Linked DNA regions of Arabidopsis thaliana. The protein of the gene in region 2 interacts with the protein of the main gene of each other region in a pairwise test. Each region holds a gene or a part of one and is shown on either strand. Other genes may lie near its edges.

Region 1 (8,063 bases), on a different chromosome or scaffold from region 2:
AGAGCAAGTAGGAGATCTTATTACGTACCTCTAATTCACGGAGATACTCGTAGATATCTGAGACATAAAGTCCACACATCTGTGGATCATCAGACCTAGCGTCAATGTCAGAGCCTGATTGAATGTTCTCTTGAAACGCAAGTAGCTTATGTCGAATTTCCGCCCACTCTACCGGGGAAGCATCTTGAGGGTTATGGTCGGAATGAATCTGTTTATCTTTCTTAGACACCATATTTATCGAAAAACAAGAACACATCTTCGAAAGAACAACAATAAATCTTACACTAAGTCCTATATATAGAGTAGAAGACTCTATCCTAAAACAACCAGGTTTCAGAATTCAGATGAGAGATGAGACAGACTAAAAAAAAAAGGAAAATTAAACCAAAGCCCAAAACAATAACTTGTTGAACACGAAATCCCAAGTAATTAAAAAAAGGAAATTAAAAAAAAAATCGTTCCAAAACGTGTTAATTTAGAGAAATTACCTTTTTTTACTTGATTAAAAATCTCAAAAAGTAATTACATATAATTATCTTTTTTTAATCTAAAACTTGTAATTTTACTTTGGAGAAAATTGTAAAGTAGAACCCTAATTATAATTTCGATTTGATTTGCTTATTCCGCTGAGTTAGGCCTAAACGAGAACGCTACAACTTGTGAAGTTTTTGATTTTGCAACCAACACTTGGAGGTACGTTGTCCTGCATCCCCTTATCTGGTTTCTCACACCCAAGATCCTGTGTATGTTGATGGCTCACTTCACTGGTTCACACGAGGGTGAAAGTTGAAACCATGGTTTTGTCTTTGGATCTTCACACCGAAACTTTTCAAGTCATCGCTAAAGCTCCCTTGTTTCTTGTTTCTCAAGTTTAATCTCTCTTTAGTAAACTTGATTATCAATCTCATAGACAATCTTTTCTTTTCTTTTGTTTCTTGAGATTTTCATTAGTTTCTTTAAATTAACAACAATGTCTTCTAGAGTTTTAGCCCTCTAGGAATTTTCATTAAGTATAAACATACAGTAGTAGGCTCAATGCTTAAACAAAATAAGATCATGTCACATAAATACTTATATCATATTGCATAATTGTATAAAATTATATTATTCCGAATTTCACACTAAAATTTTGTAAATAAAAAAGAAGAGATTTCAATAATACATCACACATCTTCACATAACGCAGACTTATTTGCTCCTGCCTTCACTTCTATATTTCTTACTCTTCTAGCTTCACTTGAAGATCTGTGTCCATTATACTATTTGAAACAAGATTCGGTAATCCAGCTCCGTAACATTTGCTTAAGATAGCATAACCTCAGATCAAATGGTAACATCCTCCCAAAAGGTAACCGGCAGCTCTGGTGAAACAGGCATGGTCGCAACGCATTGGAACTGTACCGAGAAGAAGCAACATTAAGTATCAAGAAAGCTCTGCTTATTCAAATGATTTTATCAATGTGTAATGTTTAAGTACCTTATGGTGCTTATATTTCTCTCTAACAGCTTGTAAAGCACCTCCTCTTCTGCTCAAATACAAGTCATGTATGATTCCAACACACACTTGTAGATCAGCCGCTTTGTACTTTGTGTACTCTTCTAACATTTGGTTCTGTTTACATATTCACAACCATAAATCATTAGTGTCTCATTCTAAACAATGACCACAGCAGACTAAAACCTGAAAGAGACTGAGACAAATATGCTTACCCAAGGATGTTGTTTCGGACGGATGATGAACCGAGCGAGAAAAACAGCAGAAGCAGCCAACAGAGACGGCACAAACTTCACAGTCTTATAATCTAATATACTCAATTCTGACAAATAGCAACAAAGAGGCTCTAGCTGCAAATGTGGAACTTTGAAATCGTCTTGTGCAACTCTAGTAAACCGTCTACACAAACACCAACACACAAAATCAGAACAATGAAACTAAGACAAACCAATAAGTAATCATCACCAATACACACAAATCTAACCTCATAAAAGTATTAATCGTTGGTCTTCCCAACTCAAACTGAAGAGCAAGAAGTATATCAGCTTCCATCTTCACAACATCTTGTTTCGAAAACGTATTATCCGTAATGTAACAAAAATCATCCACTTTAGGAGGACTTATCTCTTCATACTTCCTACAACATTTCAATACTTCCATTAGCTTCCATACATAAACAATGACAACAAACACAAGAGAGGAAGAATCATAAAACACTTACGAAGCAATAAGCATAGCAGAAACTCCAACAAGCTGTAGCTTTTGCTTGTTAACAGTCTTTAAAGACAAGAATCTATCAATATGTGAGACAGTGAGATAAAGTGTTTCAGATCCAAGTTTATACTCTTCAGCAACTTCCACTAACCAATCAACCAAAACACCTCTCATACTTGGTGTTACATCTTTCTGAACTTTCTCTATGTAATCTGGTAAAGGTCTCTGCTTTGGCTTCACCTGAATTCACCAAATCCAATTCAGATCCAATTCAAGAACTAAGTAAATGATTCTAAATCCAAAACACAAGATCATTATTACCTCAAGTTGACGAAGATACTCATAGATATCAGCAACATAAGGTCCACACATTTGAGGATCATCAGATCGAGAATCAATGTCAGATTTTGATTCTAGGTCAATAATAGCCACCGGAGCTGACTTAATCTGTTTCGCCGGAGGAGGTTTAAGATTCCTTTTTGGCTTCTGGGTTTCTTTCTTCTGATTGAGATTAGCCAAGAGATTGACATTGGAGACGTTTAGAAGCTCACCGAGAACAACTCTCTTCTTGTTGACCCGATCTCCGTCAATACCCATCGCCGTCGAAGCTTTTCGTTTCGCCGCCGCTCTTGTAACCCTCACGCAGATCTCTTGCTCTGTCATGATTGAGATGAGATTGAAGAGAGAGCGAGAGAGTGATGGGAAGAGAGAGTTTGAGATTTGAGAGGATTGAGAGATCGGATGAGTGGAAGAAGAGAAGGTGAGAAGGGGAAGAAAAAGGGAAGAGCAAAAGCGCCATTTTTTCTGATTGTGGCGCTCTCTGTGATTTTTTTGGAGTTTGAGTTTTTTGGGAGTCAACTAAAAAATTTTGGAGGTGCGAAAATTCTCTGAAATTTGTTTGGGCGGGTGATTTATGTTTTTTTGTTTTCAGATTTTGCCTGAAAATGTTTTTGACCGGTAAAGATTGGGGTTTTGGCCGTGGTGGTTCGATTCAGAAACAAATTTGACATTTGACATTTTTGTCCCTTCGAAGACATCTGTTAAATTTATAATTTAGATTGTAATATTTTGTCTTTGACAAAAAAAAAAAAAAAAAAAAAGATTGTGATATTTTGTACTTTACTAATCTTATATTTTTTAATAAAATATTTAGAATTGTTAAATGTACAATTTTCTTTAAACAAGATCATGACTTTTTAAAACTAACTAGTTTTTTAGGGTTTTTTTAAATAAAATTTTGATCCTTTTTTATTTTTTTTTATAGTGATTATTTTATAATTTTGAGAATTTTATGTTGTTTAGTATGGTCTAAATTGTGAAAACGATTACAGAAAAAAACAAAGAAGATATAAAGACCAAAATCTATAACTAAATAAACTTACGAAAACTATAATGAAAGCTAAGTGGAAAGCAGCTAGCATAGGTTCGATGAAGAACATCAATGTTGAACCGTGAGGCTCAGACATTTGTATAATTGTCCCATCTCCAACAAAAATTGAATCTTCATTATTGTTACCACGAGCAATTTCTTTATGAGGTCTATCTTCAAAACCTTAAAACAAAAAGACGCTAATAGTTTTTTTGAGAACTAACACAAAAACAAAACCGCTAGAATAGACTTACCTGACAGCAAAAGAGCATCTACGAACATCCAGAAAAGCCGCCTTTGGCCACCAAAGGCCACCATTCTCAAGCATAAAACTAGAAAAATCAGTTCCCACAATATAATATAGACATTCTAGACCAAATCACCGCTTCTATCCAACACTGAAAGCTCACTGGAACATCATGCGGAACAAACCTTTATCCTATCAAAGTGAAGAAACACAACAAACAATCAAAAACAACAAAGACACCTCCTTAGAGCAGAGCCAACCCAAGGCAAATTCAAGGTGAAGAAACGTTGCGAATATACATTCGGTTGAGAAACGATTATGTTTTCTAATTTCTTCTAAGCTCACCAAATATCATAATAGACCTTGATCACCTTTTAACTAGACTCAAAACTAATTTTACTCATCATCCACATGTTCAATTGATCCTCCACCCAATATATTTTTCAAACTTGATTGCCAAATAGTTCTAAAATAAAAAAATCTCTTGACTGCTTTTTTATGATGTAAAATTTGTTGATTGGTAACTAATAATTTACAATGAGAATGTGACAATATACAAAAACAAGACATAACAAAACAGATCAAAGATTTGAGGACAGATCTTGGCAGTGACTAATGTAGGGGTCTCGTCACATACAAAGTTTGAAGCAATCTTTAAGTTTTGGTTTCTCGTAGTAACACAATGACATGATGCGAGAGTGAATGGTTTTCTCGATCATGGCTAGAAGCTGCATATGGGTCCGACATTTCTTGTTGTGAGCTTCCTCTCATTCCACTCTCTCCAAAGATAATACAAAGTCGCTTGAAAAGATAGTCGAATGAGAATGTAGTGGTTATCGTCATTTATGATTATTACCCTATTTAGATTTTGTAAAATAATATTTGGATTACCTAAAGATTAGTTCAGTTGAAAATAATTTGTAAGAAAAAATCAAGTTACCCTACTTATTTTGATTTTATATATATACTATTTTCCACAAAACATTTATATTTAAAACATTTATTGTATTTTATATACTGATATTATCTTCATCTGATATCAATAAAATTAGCTGAAATTTTTATTATTAATTGTATTTTATGTAATTAATTTAAAATAAAACCGTAATTAATTCATAAAAAGATTTGAACGTAAGTTTAAGATTATAACTGAAATATTTATATTGACTATAGTTTTCTCCACCACACAAAGTTTAAATTTCAAATACTTCCTGAATTTTCGGTTATTTAATTATTTATAATAACACCGAACCAAACCAATCAATGTCTAAACTCTAAACTCTAAAGACTTTGTCATTTCGTGAACCGTCGTCATAACTGATCCTTCCAAAGAATCTCCAAAATCCCTAAACTTCGAAAATGGCAGAAACCGCCGAGACAATCAACACCACGATCTCATCGCCGCCACCGGAATCCGAAAGCTCCACCACTATTTCTGCAATGACAGATCCAACATCTCAAGAAGCAGCCTCAAAAGACACAGATCTGACGAAAGAAGCCGAATCAGAGAAGAAACCAGGAGGAATCTCTCTCCGAATCTGGCCACCGACTCAGAAAACTCGCGACGCCGTTCTGAATCGCCTGATCGAGACCTTATCCACCGAATCAATCCTCTCTAAGAGATACGGTACTCTTAAATCTGACGATGCAACCACCGTCGCGAAACTTATCGAAGAAGAGGCTTATGGTGTTGCTTCGAATGCTGTGTCGAGTGATGATGATGGGATTAAGATTCTTGAGCTTTATTCTAAAGAGATTAGTAAGAGGATGCTTGAATCTGTTAAGGCTAGATCTAATGCTAGTGTTGGAAATGGAAGTGTGGAGGATGCTAATACTGATGCTAGTGAGGTTTCTAAAGATGATGCTGGTCCTGCTTCAGAGGAGGAGAAGAGTGAGGCTTGAGAAATTTGGTTTTACTTCCTTATTATAATCTCTTGTCTCTTAGGGTTTTGCTGTTCTTGTAATGATGATGATGACTTGTGGATTTGGTATTATGCATATTTGAAGATGTTTCTTCTTCCTTAATATGAGTGCAAGTGTCTTCATTTTGTTGCTTGGTTTGGCTTTATGGGATTTGATATTTAACAATAATGCATCTTTGTTGGTAAATTGTTTTCCTTTTCTGCTATGTGTGTTTTGGATTGCTTTGATTGATGTGTATTCAACAACCACATCGTTTGATTTGTGTCATTCATTGTGTAATTACGGTTAGTATCATCGGGTTATGTCTTTGTGAATGTTAGAGTGGTGTGTTGAGTTTATTGTTTTGTTCAGTTTCTTTAAGCACATTTGCATCTTTGCTTTGGTGACCATTAGTGTCTCTATGCAGCTTACCATTGAGTTATGTAACGTTTTTTAAATTGGGTTACAATTACGATTAAGCTGAAGTTCTGTTACTTTTCAGTGGTGACAGGAACATGTGAGTTTGTCTTACTTTGGTGTATGCAGCTTTCTATGGCTTATAGGTTGTGTAGTGTTTGGTCGATTGGATTTGGAGTTCTTTAGAACACACCATTAGGATTAGGCTGAAAGTTCTTTGGATTTTTCAGTGATGACATGAACTTGTGGTGAGTCGGAGCACGGATTAAGTATCTTTAGATTTTATAAATCCTCAAGTAACTAGTTTGATGAACCTAATTACATCAGAACATGAAAAACACTGCCTACAAGTTTCTAGTGGTTATGTCATAGCGGTTTCTTTCTGTTTTTACTCTGTTTTTGTATTCCTATTCTATTGGATTAGATTTTGGCCAGTTGAATTTTAAACCAAGTTATGTAATGTGTAGATAGTGTTTGTTCTTATGTTGTTTTACATAGAATTAGAGGATGATTCCAGTCTATTTTCTCCTTCTTCCTTCTTCCTTCCTATGCTCAGGTGGGTATGTTTCGAGTTCATTGACCTCTGTATTCGTTTAATTTAGTAACTGAAACAATTTCACTGATTCTTTGATATTCTCTCTAGTCTTCTCTGGTTAGTGGTTAGGGATTACAGTCAAAATAGAGTTTTAAAGTTCGCAGTTCTTCCATACAGAATCGTCATGAATTTCTTTATCAATTCAAGAATCCAAAAAACAATGACTTAGAAAAACATACATAGTTTATATGTAAGCCAATAACTTATAACTACAGTTACATAGTTTTGTTTTGTGATGTGGAAAGGAGATTAGATAAAATCAAATGTAGGTTTAGAAATCAGAAATTTTTTGGTTTAATACTTTTATTCATAAGTTACAAAAAGCAGGCGGATATGGGAATAACCAGATTGAAAAAATGTGAAATAGAAACTATGCTTATTGGTCAATTGATTGATAAGATCTCAGCCAAACAATTTTTGTCATCCTGGATGACCCCATCATCACAAATGGGAGGCTTGGTCAGTAAAGAGATTGAGATTATATTGTTTGCTAGAAGGGTGATGACCCTTTTTTGGCAGAGCAACTTCATGCCAACAAAAAATTCAGAAGTCTATAATCTGTGTGGTACGCTAAGCGTTGGCTTTTTTTTTTTAAGACAAGTGTAAGCGGAGAGGTGATCAACTGATCATGAAGCTTTGTAGGAAAAGACACGTGAGAAGAAAAACTCCTATATTAGCTTCCACACATGTGCTTCATGTCCCATTCACCAAGTGTACATTCTACTTTTGGGAGTATATTATTTCTTTAGATCCAAAGAAGAAAGATGTACCTTTGTTCTAATTGGATTATTCTTTTTAATTTTCAACGATCTTGTTTTTAGTATTAGGATTAGAAGAGTTAGAGCACCTCCATCAACAATATTTTTTTTTTCTTCACTAGAATGGTAAATTATATTGATGAAATAAGTTCTGAATACAATAGGCGGCAATGCAATCAAACCTTCCAAAGACATAAGCCGGCGAGTACATGTAGACTCCTAGAAACAAAAATCTAATTAAGAAAAATTAAAGAGGAAATAAACTCAAACATACAAATACACGCATCTGAACCAATCTTCTCGGAATCCAAACTCAAAAAATCAAAAATAAAATTACAAAGTCTAAATCACCATAAAAACAAACAGATTCACACTAAGGAAAACAAAACCAACAAAACCAGGACTCTCTTTACCACAAACGGCGGTGAACAAACAAACACCCCGCGACCCAAATGATGATGGTCATAAGAAGAAGAAAGGAGATCGAGATCTTCAAAGGAGAGAAATCTACTTCTGAAGGCGGTGAAAGAACTCGCCTCTGCCGAGGTTCGAACGGCCAGAACTGG
Region 2 (8,164 bases):
TTATCAAGCAATACCCAAGAACATCATTCCTAAGACCTCAGCTAGTTACAAATACATGATTAATAATATTTTACTCAAGCCTGGTAACAAACATATCAAAAGTGTATAACTCATCAGCAAAATCACGAGCGACCAAGCTCTTTCGATCTACGATAGCAAAGCGAGATTGATTCAATCAAAAGCAATCAGTTTTACCTACTCCCCTTCTTTGAAACCGAACCCCCATCTTTGGACTTTTCACCTGCCATCCGCGAACGCATAGAAAAAAGGTCCATACACTTATTAATGCGTTCCCAATATAATCAAAGCATTGCTCTAACCATTTGACACCAATCAAAAAGAACAAAGTACACACAAAGAGAGAAGCAATTGTAAACAAACAGTTAAAAAGCTGTGTAGCCTTTGCAAAGACTAACCTTCAGAATCAACCTTAGGCTTGTCACCAGGATTTATCGTCCCACCTCGAACAAAAGTCTTAGTAGTTGCATTATCCCCTTGAAACGATTCCACGAATTCTTGATACAAACGAGCCGTTTCATCCTCTGCTTTCTGCGATTAAGATCGAAAACCCCATCGATTAATCAATCAAATCAATCTCCGATGAACAAATTTCTCAAATTCTACCCAGGAATAGCGATGAATCGATTGAAAATTTCAACTCACCTTCTTCCTAGCTTCTTCTTCTTCTCTGTGTTTCTGGAATGGTGTTTTCTTACGAGTGATCGAGAATGAACTCATTGTTTCAGCATCCAACTGCTCCTCGGGAAACTTGTACCCAACGAAACAGAGAAGCCGAATTGATGATTGAGAAAGATCAAAGTAGAAAGATACGAAGACTATGGATTCTGATTCGGAACTAGGGTTTGGATGAATCGAGAAAGGTGACGATTGATCAGGAAGCGAGCTAGGGCTCGAGGAGAGAACACAAGACGAGCTAAAAACGGGAGATAGGGAAAAATAATAATTAGGATAAAATATTTGTATTTTCAGTCGTCTTTTAAGAATTTGTGGAATTTTAAATTAATTATTGCGTAAGCATAAAATTTTGATAAATAAATTTAAAAAGTTACATATACAAAAAATGATAATAAACAAAATTTAAATCTAAATTGATATTTATTATAAACTGGAAAGAATATATTGTTTCAAAAATAAAAACTTTTAAAATAACTATGAGTGTTAACATATATTTGTAATAGAACAAAATTTTTTTTGCTGTTGTTTATAAATTATAACTAGAAGAATTGAAATTTGAGATTGAGGTTAAAGAGTTAACGTTCTATTTAATAGAGAGATTTAGAGAGTGATATAAATAAGAAAATACATATTTAGAAGTGATTTGGAGTAAGTAAAATTTTACATAAACTGTATCTTTATATATTATTCCCACAAAGAATATTTTCATATATTTAGAGTTGGTTATCTTAGTTAAGAATGGTTCAGATGATGATGAAGTAAAGTTCATTATAGTGGTTTCCTAGGCTACAATTCCACAATGGTATCAACATCTTCAACTTCTCTATGTAAAATCATAGCATCCAAGAACATCCCACTTTGTTACTTACAGCGAGAGCCAGACATTTCGACGGAGAGGTGTCATAAGACTACTCAAGTCCAATACAAATAAAAATTCAAAACAGAATTGCCATAACGAGCCAAGTTTACAATTTTTAAATTACAATGACTAGTAAGACAACAATGTTTACCTACCAAATCAACAGTTTGATCTAAAGTAAACAGAGAAACAAAGAAAGTATATTCCAACAAAAAAAAGTTCCTGGTGTTTCTATCCTCGTAACATTTTGAATAGAATAAGCTTTCTCTCTTTTCTTTGAACAACCAAATCGATCAACACATGGATCCCAAAAACAACCAAACAAAAACCATATACGTGGACTGCGTTATGGAGCTTAATGTTGTTGATAGATTTACAAAACCAACCATTCGGTTCTTTTCCTTGATGATTCAGGACATTCCTGTAGTCCCTAGGATTGAACCTGAAGCAGTTTCAGAGTTAAGATGGAACAGATTCCACCAGTTCTTGTAATTTTTTCAGACCAACGGTGGCTATGAGTTCCATCGAGACAAAAACTTCATTAGATTTTGCTTTCTCTTCTTCCTCTTCCTCTTCTTTGAGACCGCCTGTGAGTTTAAGCTTCTCTGCCTCGGATTCTGCTTCTTGCGCTTCCTCAAGTAGAAGATTAGCTTCTTCAAGGTCGCTCAGTTCCAGAGCAGCTGATCTCTCAGCTTTTGCAGTTCCACTGTCAATCCGCAACCTCTGGAATCTACTAATAGCCAATTCTTTTTCTTTCGACAAAATCAACTTCTCTATCTCTTGTAGCCTCTTGATGGTTTCTTCAATCTCATGCTCTGCTTTTTCGAGCTCAGCGTTAGCTTTTCCTGTTTCCATCTGTGTCTTATCCTTTTCTAAATTTAAAGACTTGGCTTCTGCAGCTATTCTTCCAGCTTCTTTAAAATTTCTCGTTGATGCAGCCACTTTCTTCTCTGCTTCAAGCTCCGGCATCCTTTTCTCTATGAACATAATTTTATCCATGAAAGATGTAATGTTCTGTTGGATGATCGACTTTTTAGAAGATCGCTCCTTAAGTAACTCTCGGGTACTGGAAACCTCCTCTTGTAGCTTCTGTACTTCCTCAGAAAGCTTCTCTTCGATATTTACAAGCTTAGCTCTCTCTTCTCTAGTTTTAGACACATATGACATCAAACCTTTCCGCAATTTAATAACTTCCTCATATTCACAAGCTTCATCCGCTGAAACACGGGCAAGATCACGAAGTTTGGCTCCTCTCTCCTTCTCAGATGTCATGAACTCGTCCACGTCTTTCTTCTTCCTTGATAAATCTTCAGTTTCCTTGTCAACCTCAGTGAGACCAGCTTGCACATCGTTTAACATTTTATCCATACTTGTTTGCAATTCCTTGAAGCCAGTCACCACATTGTTAATTCTTTCCTCAACTGCCTCTATTTGCGAATCGTTCTCGTCAATCTCCTTCTCCTTTGCCTTCACCAAAGCAAGCAGCTCCTCAAGTTCATTTGCCAAATGTTCTTTCTTCTTCTGCAGTATCTCCTTCTCTTTCATATCTTGTTCAACAGATCCCTCAAGAATACCATTCAACGACAACCGAACGTTATCAACAACAACAGATTCTATATCCAATTCGACTTTTCTAACCTCAACATCTTCAGAACATGAATGCCATTTCTCCATTTCATCTGAATAAAAAGCTTCTGCTTTCTCCAGAATCGATCCAGCATCATTCTCAGCATCCGTGCCAAAACTACGAAGCAGACAGGCAGATTCTTCTTCAGCTGCAATCTGAGAAAGAAGAACCTCTTCCATTTTCGACTCAATAGCATCGCAATCAGATTCCGCTTGGCGAAGCAATGCCAACAATGCTAGCCTATCTCTTTCCTTAGCAGCGAGGCTTTCGCTAATCCTCTCAGCCGCATCGAAATCCTCTGTCTCGATCGCTTCCTCAAGCTGCTTCTCGAGCTCTTCGTGCGTCGTAGAAGCTAATCTGAGATTCTCAGATGCTTGCCTTTTCTTCCTAATCGCATTCTTACGAGCAGAAGTAACCGAAGCAGCCAAATCACGAGAACGATTTAGCTTCGCTTCGATCTGAGCCTTAACTAACTCCAACCTTGAGCTACCATTACCAACAACCACAGTAACAACAGGAGAGTCTAAAGATTGATTACCGGAATCAAACACTTGCGCGACGGAATCAGATATTTGACTAACTGAATCTGATACTTGACTAACGGAATCGGATTGTTGACTAACGGCATCATCTTCGTCTTCGTCGAGATTGTTGGTTTCGTGCCTACCGTATCCAATTCTTAATCCAGCCGCTCTCTTCTTCCTCCGTGACACCTGACGTCCATAATTCTTCGCCGGAGATTGATGAGTAGTGATAACTGCCTCCATCGGCTCAGGTTGGTGTTGAACCGGAGTCACAATCGTTAAGTCTGAAAACAGATTCTCGTCCAAAGCCTCCGTAATATCTGGCTGAGAAGTAGCCGTGATCAGTGTCGCCTCCGTCACATCTGGTTGAGAAGGAGCCGTGATCAGTGTCGCCTCCGCCGCCTTGGTTTCTTCAGATTGAGGCGGTGAGCTTACCTTGCTGTCACCGGAGAACTGAGACGCCGGTGTAAAAAGCTCCATCCCTTCGAACAGGGAATCCATATCGTCGCCACCATCCATCGCCGCCGATCTGATCAATCACCGATCTGATCTACATTTGAGTTTGAAACCTTTTAATAATTCATAAAAATAAATTCACTAGTTTAATGGGCCTTAAATGTTTGACTTGTCTTGGGCCTATTAACGGCCCATATTTGATAATGCTGACGTCACTCTTTCCCGATTGTGTTAGCGCCTCTTCATCTCCATAAAGATAAAAATTTCAACACTTGTCGGCGACTCAGAGAATCTAACCGGAAACCTAATCTCTTTACCTCTGAGTCTATCTACGCCGGATTTTTCAATTTTCAAATTCTCGATTCGATTGAAGATGGAAGGAGGTGGAGGAAGTAGCGGCGGAGGAGCTGGAGGAGTGGTTCCGGAATCAGCGATTGAAGCGGTGAATCAAACACTTGCGTACCTCAAGGAACTGAAGCCACAGCTTGAGCAGATGCTGACTTTAGCTGAGCCAGAGGTTCTCGCTGCAATGCAACCATTACAGCGAGCTAAGACTATGCACTTGCTAGCTGAAGCCACCACTACTCTTTACGAACGTAACACTCTTTCTTCTTTGTGAATCTGTTTCGATTGAAGTTTGTTTGTTTGTGATAAATTTGAATTTTTTTGTTGTTTTGTGTGTTTACAGTGAGGTTGAGATGTACTGGTGTTGATCCTGATGATCATCGTGTAAAATCTGAAATTGTATGTGTCTTTGGATGTTTTAGTTCTCTTATTATCTTGTTAACTTAATCAAAATGGTATCTTTTGTTGTTTGATTGATGGTAGTATTGGTTTTGTAGGAGCGGATAAACGTGTACAGAGAGAAGTTTCAGAAGTGTGTTGATCAAAGTAAAGGTAAAGATTGATTTTCTGGTGCCTGGATTGATTTGTAGAGAGATCAAAAACTTGTTTGGTTCTGTGTGTCTTTTGGTTTAAACCATTTGTTTCAGTTTGAATTGGCCATTGTATTGTCTCGTGGATTAAGCAAGTTTTTTTGGCTTTCTCTTTTCATTGGAGAATTGCTGCTTTCAATTACCTTTGTTGGGGGATAATATTTCAACCATGTTCAAGGATTATGCTCTCAGCTTAGAATTTATTTAGCCTTTCGTAATTTTAGAGGCTAATAGGTGCTAACGATTTCTTAAGCGTTAAATGATATCCTCTGTGTACCTTATTGTTGATTAGTACATTTTGAGGACTTGCGTTTCTGATCCTTTGTTTGTTGGGATTATGTATCTGCCTTATATAGTTTTCCTTGTTTTGTTCGATGTTTAGTGTTGATACTATTTTTCGTAGATATGATGATTTTCTTTAAAAGACTCTTTATTGCTTGTACCCATCTTAAATGCAGGGAAGTAGTGTTTCCATTAGAAGGCTTTCTCTTTTCATTGGAGAATTGCTGCATCCATTTACCTTATAAAGTTGTTGGGGATAATATTTCAACCGTGTTCAAGGATTTTGCTCTCAGCTTAGAATTTATTTAGCCAGTCTTAATATTAGGCAGATAGGTGCTAACCTCTTCGTTGATTAGTACATTTTCCGAGGACTTGCTTTTCTGATCCTCTGTTTGTTGGGATGATGTATCTGCTTTAGATTGTTTTCTTTGTTTTGTTCTATGCTCAGTGATGATTTTATTTATTTTTGGTAGATATGATGATTTTCGTTGAAAGACTCTTTATTGCATGTACCCATCTTAAATGCAGGGAAGTAGTATTTCCATTGGAAGGCTTTCTAATAATGAATCGCGCCTAATCCATTGTTCTGGACTTATCTTTTAGTCACCTTACTATTGCATCTACCTATCATCTTATATTGAAAGGAGATTTCCTCTCGTAGTCTATTGAATGAAATTAGGGAGACTGATTCGTGATCTAGTTTCTCTGTATTTGTTTTTCCGTTGAATAGCTTTAAAATCAAAGTGGATAGTTTCAACTTTGTTTTGTCAAGATTTACTTCCATTTAGACAACTTATTTGATTTGAATTTATTTGTGGCTCATTGTTGATGTTAATGTTTCGCGATGTTTTTCGAAGTTTTTTCTTATTGTGGAAGATCCATTTGTTCTTGTCTACTATCTCAAATTTTGGAGGCTAGTGTCTTATCTTTGTTTATCAACGAGCTTTTATATTCCGTTTAGAAAGTGCTTACTCAATTGGTAACACTTGTGCTCTGCGTTTTTGTGAAATGACTCGTGGGCCTTTCGGGCAAGAATCGTTTTGTCGATATGCTACCGGGTACTAATGGGCCGACTAGTTCGACTTAGTTTCTCGAAAGTATTTCTTTTCATGCACATCGTTTCATATTTAACTTGTCTAATTGATGTTTGGTTTATCTGATAAGGAAATTTTGTAGTCATTTCGATTTTGTTAGACATTGAATGGCTACCTCTAATCAATATCTTATCCTCTAAATGTTCTCTTATCTATTTCTCTTTTTTTTTTTTACCGTAGGACCTTTGCGCCCGACCACTGTCTTAAACCGTCAGGCAGCAACCCGTTTCATCGAACATTCTCTACCTGATCTTACATCGAGTAAGCTTTTGTACAGTTTGTTGTTTCCACCTCTCTCTTTTACTGTATATCATTGTTTCTCTAACAGTCATTGCTAAATGAATCTAGCCCAAAAGCAAAGCATTAGAGACCTCAGTAAAGGAGAGAAATCGAGGATCAGGTATTCTGAAACATCTGCGAGAAAGAGGAAATACCAATCAAATGAGAAACAGTCTGTTCAGTCAGCTGCGAAGGACTTTCTTGAAAAGGCAGCTCGTGAGATTATCGGTCACAATGAAAATGGTTTGAAGGGCCCTTTAGTAGCGGCAGCTGATGGTTCAGATGATGTCGAAGTTGGTACAGCCTGATTTATTACCAATATATCATGGTAATGTTCTCTTCTGATTATCTTTGACACCTGAAAGCAAATCTCTAGAATTGCCAACTAGGTGGATGTCTAAGGAAAAAAAACGATTCTTTCTCCTAATACTTTATGACTATGATCACATAATGAAAACACTGTTTCCTTCCATTTGTTTTGAAAACTATAGTCTCTTTATGAGTTATCCTTAGGGATTTATTTGCTTCTCCTCATGGTATGATTATAATATCTTTGAGTCATATAAAGGATGTACCAATAAGGAAGATTTGTTCATTGTAGTGATTTCTCTCCTAGGCTACAAATAGCAGAATAGTATCAGCATCTTTAGTCCTCTTCGTGTAGATCATTGCATCCGTTACTTATCTGCTGATTATCGTGAAGTTTTCAGCACCATTTCTGTCTCTACATGCCAGGATAGTATCAACTTCTCAGTTCTCTTCTCTTTGTGAAGCATTGCATCCGTTACTTTGTAAATTCTCAGTCCTTCAACTCTTTCTCTTCTTCATATTTTGCAGCTGCTGCTACATTTTCTGGAACGTAGTTGTGGCATTCGTCATCGTCGACATTGCAGAGAAGTTGGTTTTGTCAAGTTTTAAAATTTTTGGACCTAGTTAGTGTTGTGGTGTATGCTGTTTGTACATTGCATTGTGTTAGTTACTGTTTTCGGAAAGCTCTTGAAGTTGGTGCATTTTGTATTCGGAAATAACATTAATATTTAAAAGGCAAAAGAATTCAACAAATCTTGTGGATCAAAGAATCAAAAAGCAGAGATAGAAGTTGAACAAAGCAGGTTAAATCAAAGCAAAACAATCGCTAATAATCCAACAAATCCCAAAACCCCAACTTGGCGAGTTAAAGAAGAAGCAGAGCCACCACTGGCTGGAGCCACAGTGGGAGCTCCTAACAAAGCTGGAGATGGTGCAGGAGAAGGAGAAGAACCAGTAAAAAAACCACCGGTGTGGCCACCACGAGAGGACATGACAACAATATGAAGCTTCTCACCTTCAACGCAGTTGCTTTTAGAGCCGCTGATGAAGAAGTAAGGACCAGATCTCTCTAGCTTCACTTTAGTATCTCCATTGCTGTAGTT

What was found. Proteins that work in one complex are often made in the same cells at the same time.
Region 1: the proteins of AT5G25070 (region 2) and WPP2 interact in a two-hybrid assay, tested with the Arabidopsis thaliana proteins (one large-scale study listed by BioGRID).

What each region holds. Positions count from the first base shown.
Region 1 is NC_003070.9:17,295,845-17,303,907, reverse strand, and holds WPP2 (WPP domain protein 2), read left to right. Parts: upstream 1-5,078; 5' UTR 5,079-5,184; coding exon 5,185-5,727; 3' UTR 5,728-6,077; downstream 6,078-8,063. Other genes in the region: CYCA3;3 (Cyclin A3;3), read right to left, coding at 29-232; CYCA3;2 (cyclin-dependent protein kinase 3;2), read right to left, coding at 1,324-1,395, 1,478-1,612, 1,711-1,894, 1,980-2,132, 2,217-2,449, 2,531-2,872. UniProt on the Arabidopsis thaliana protein: Regulates the mitotic activity in roots. Plays a role with HSP70-1 in facilitating WIT1 nuclear envelope targeting.
Region 2 is NC_003076.8:8,639,247-8,647,410, forward strand, and holds AT5G25070 (neurofilament light protein), read right to left. Parts: upstream 4,271-8,164; 5' UTR 4,226-4,270; coding exon 2,015-4,225; 3' UTR 1,508-2,014; downstream 1-1,507. Other genes in the region: RRC1 (RNA recognition motif (RRM)-containing protein), read right to left, coding at 196-241, 417-549, 664-738; AT5G25080 (Sas10/Utp3/C1D family), read left to right, coding at 4,536-4,758, 4,851-4,906, 5,005-5,059, 6,654-6,734, 6,822-7,060; ENODL13 (early nodulin-like protein 13), read right to left, coding at 7,871-8,164.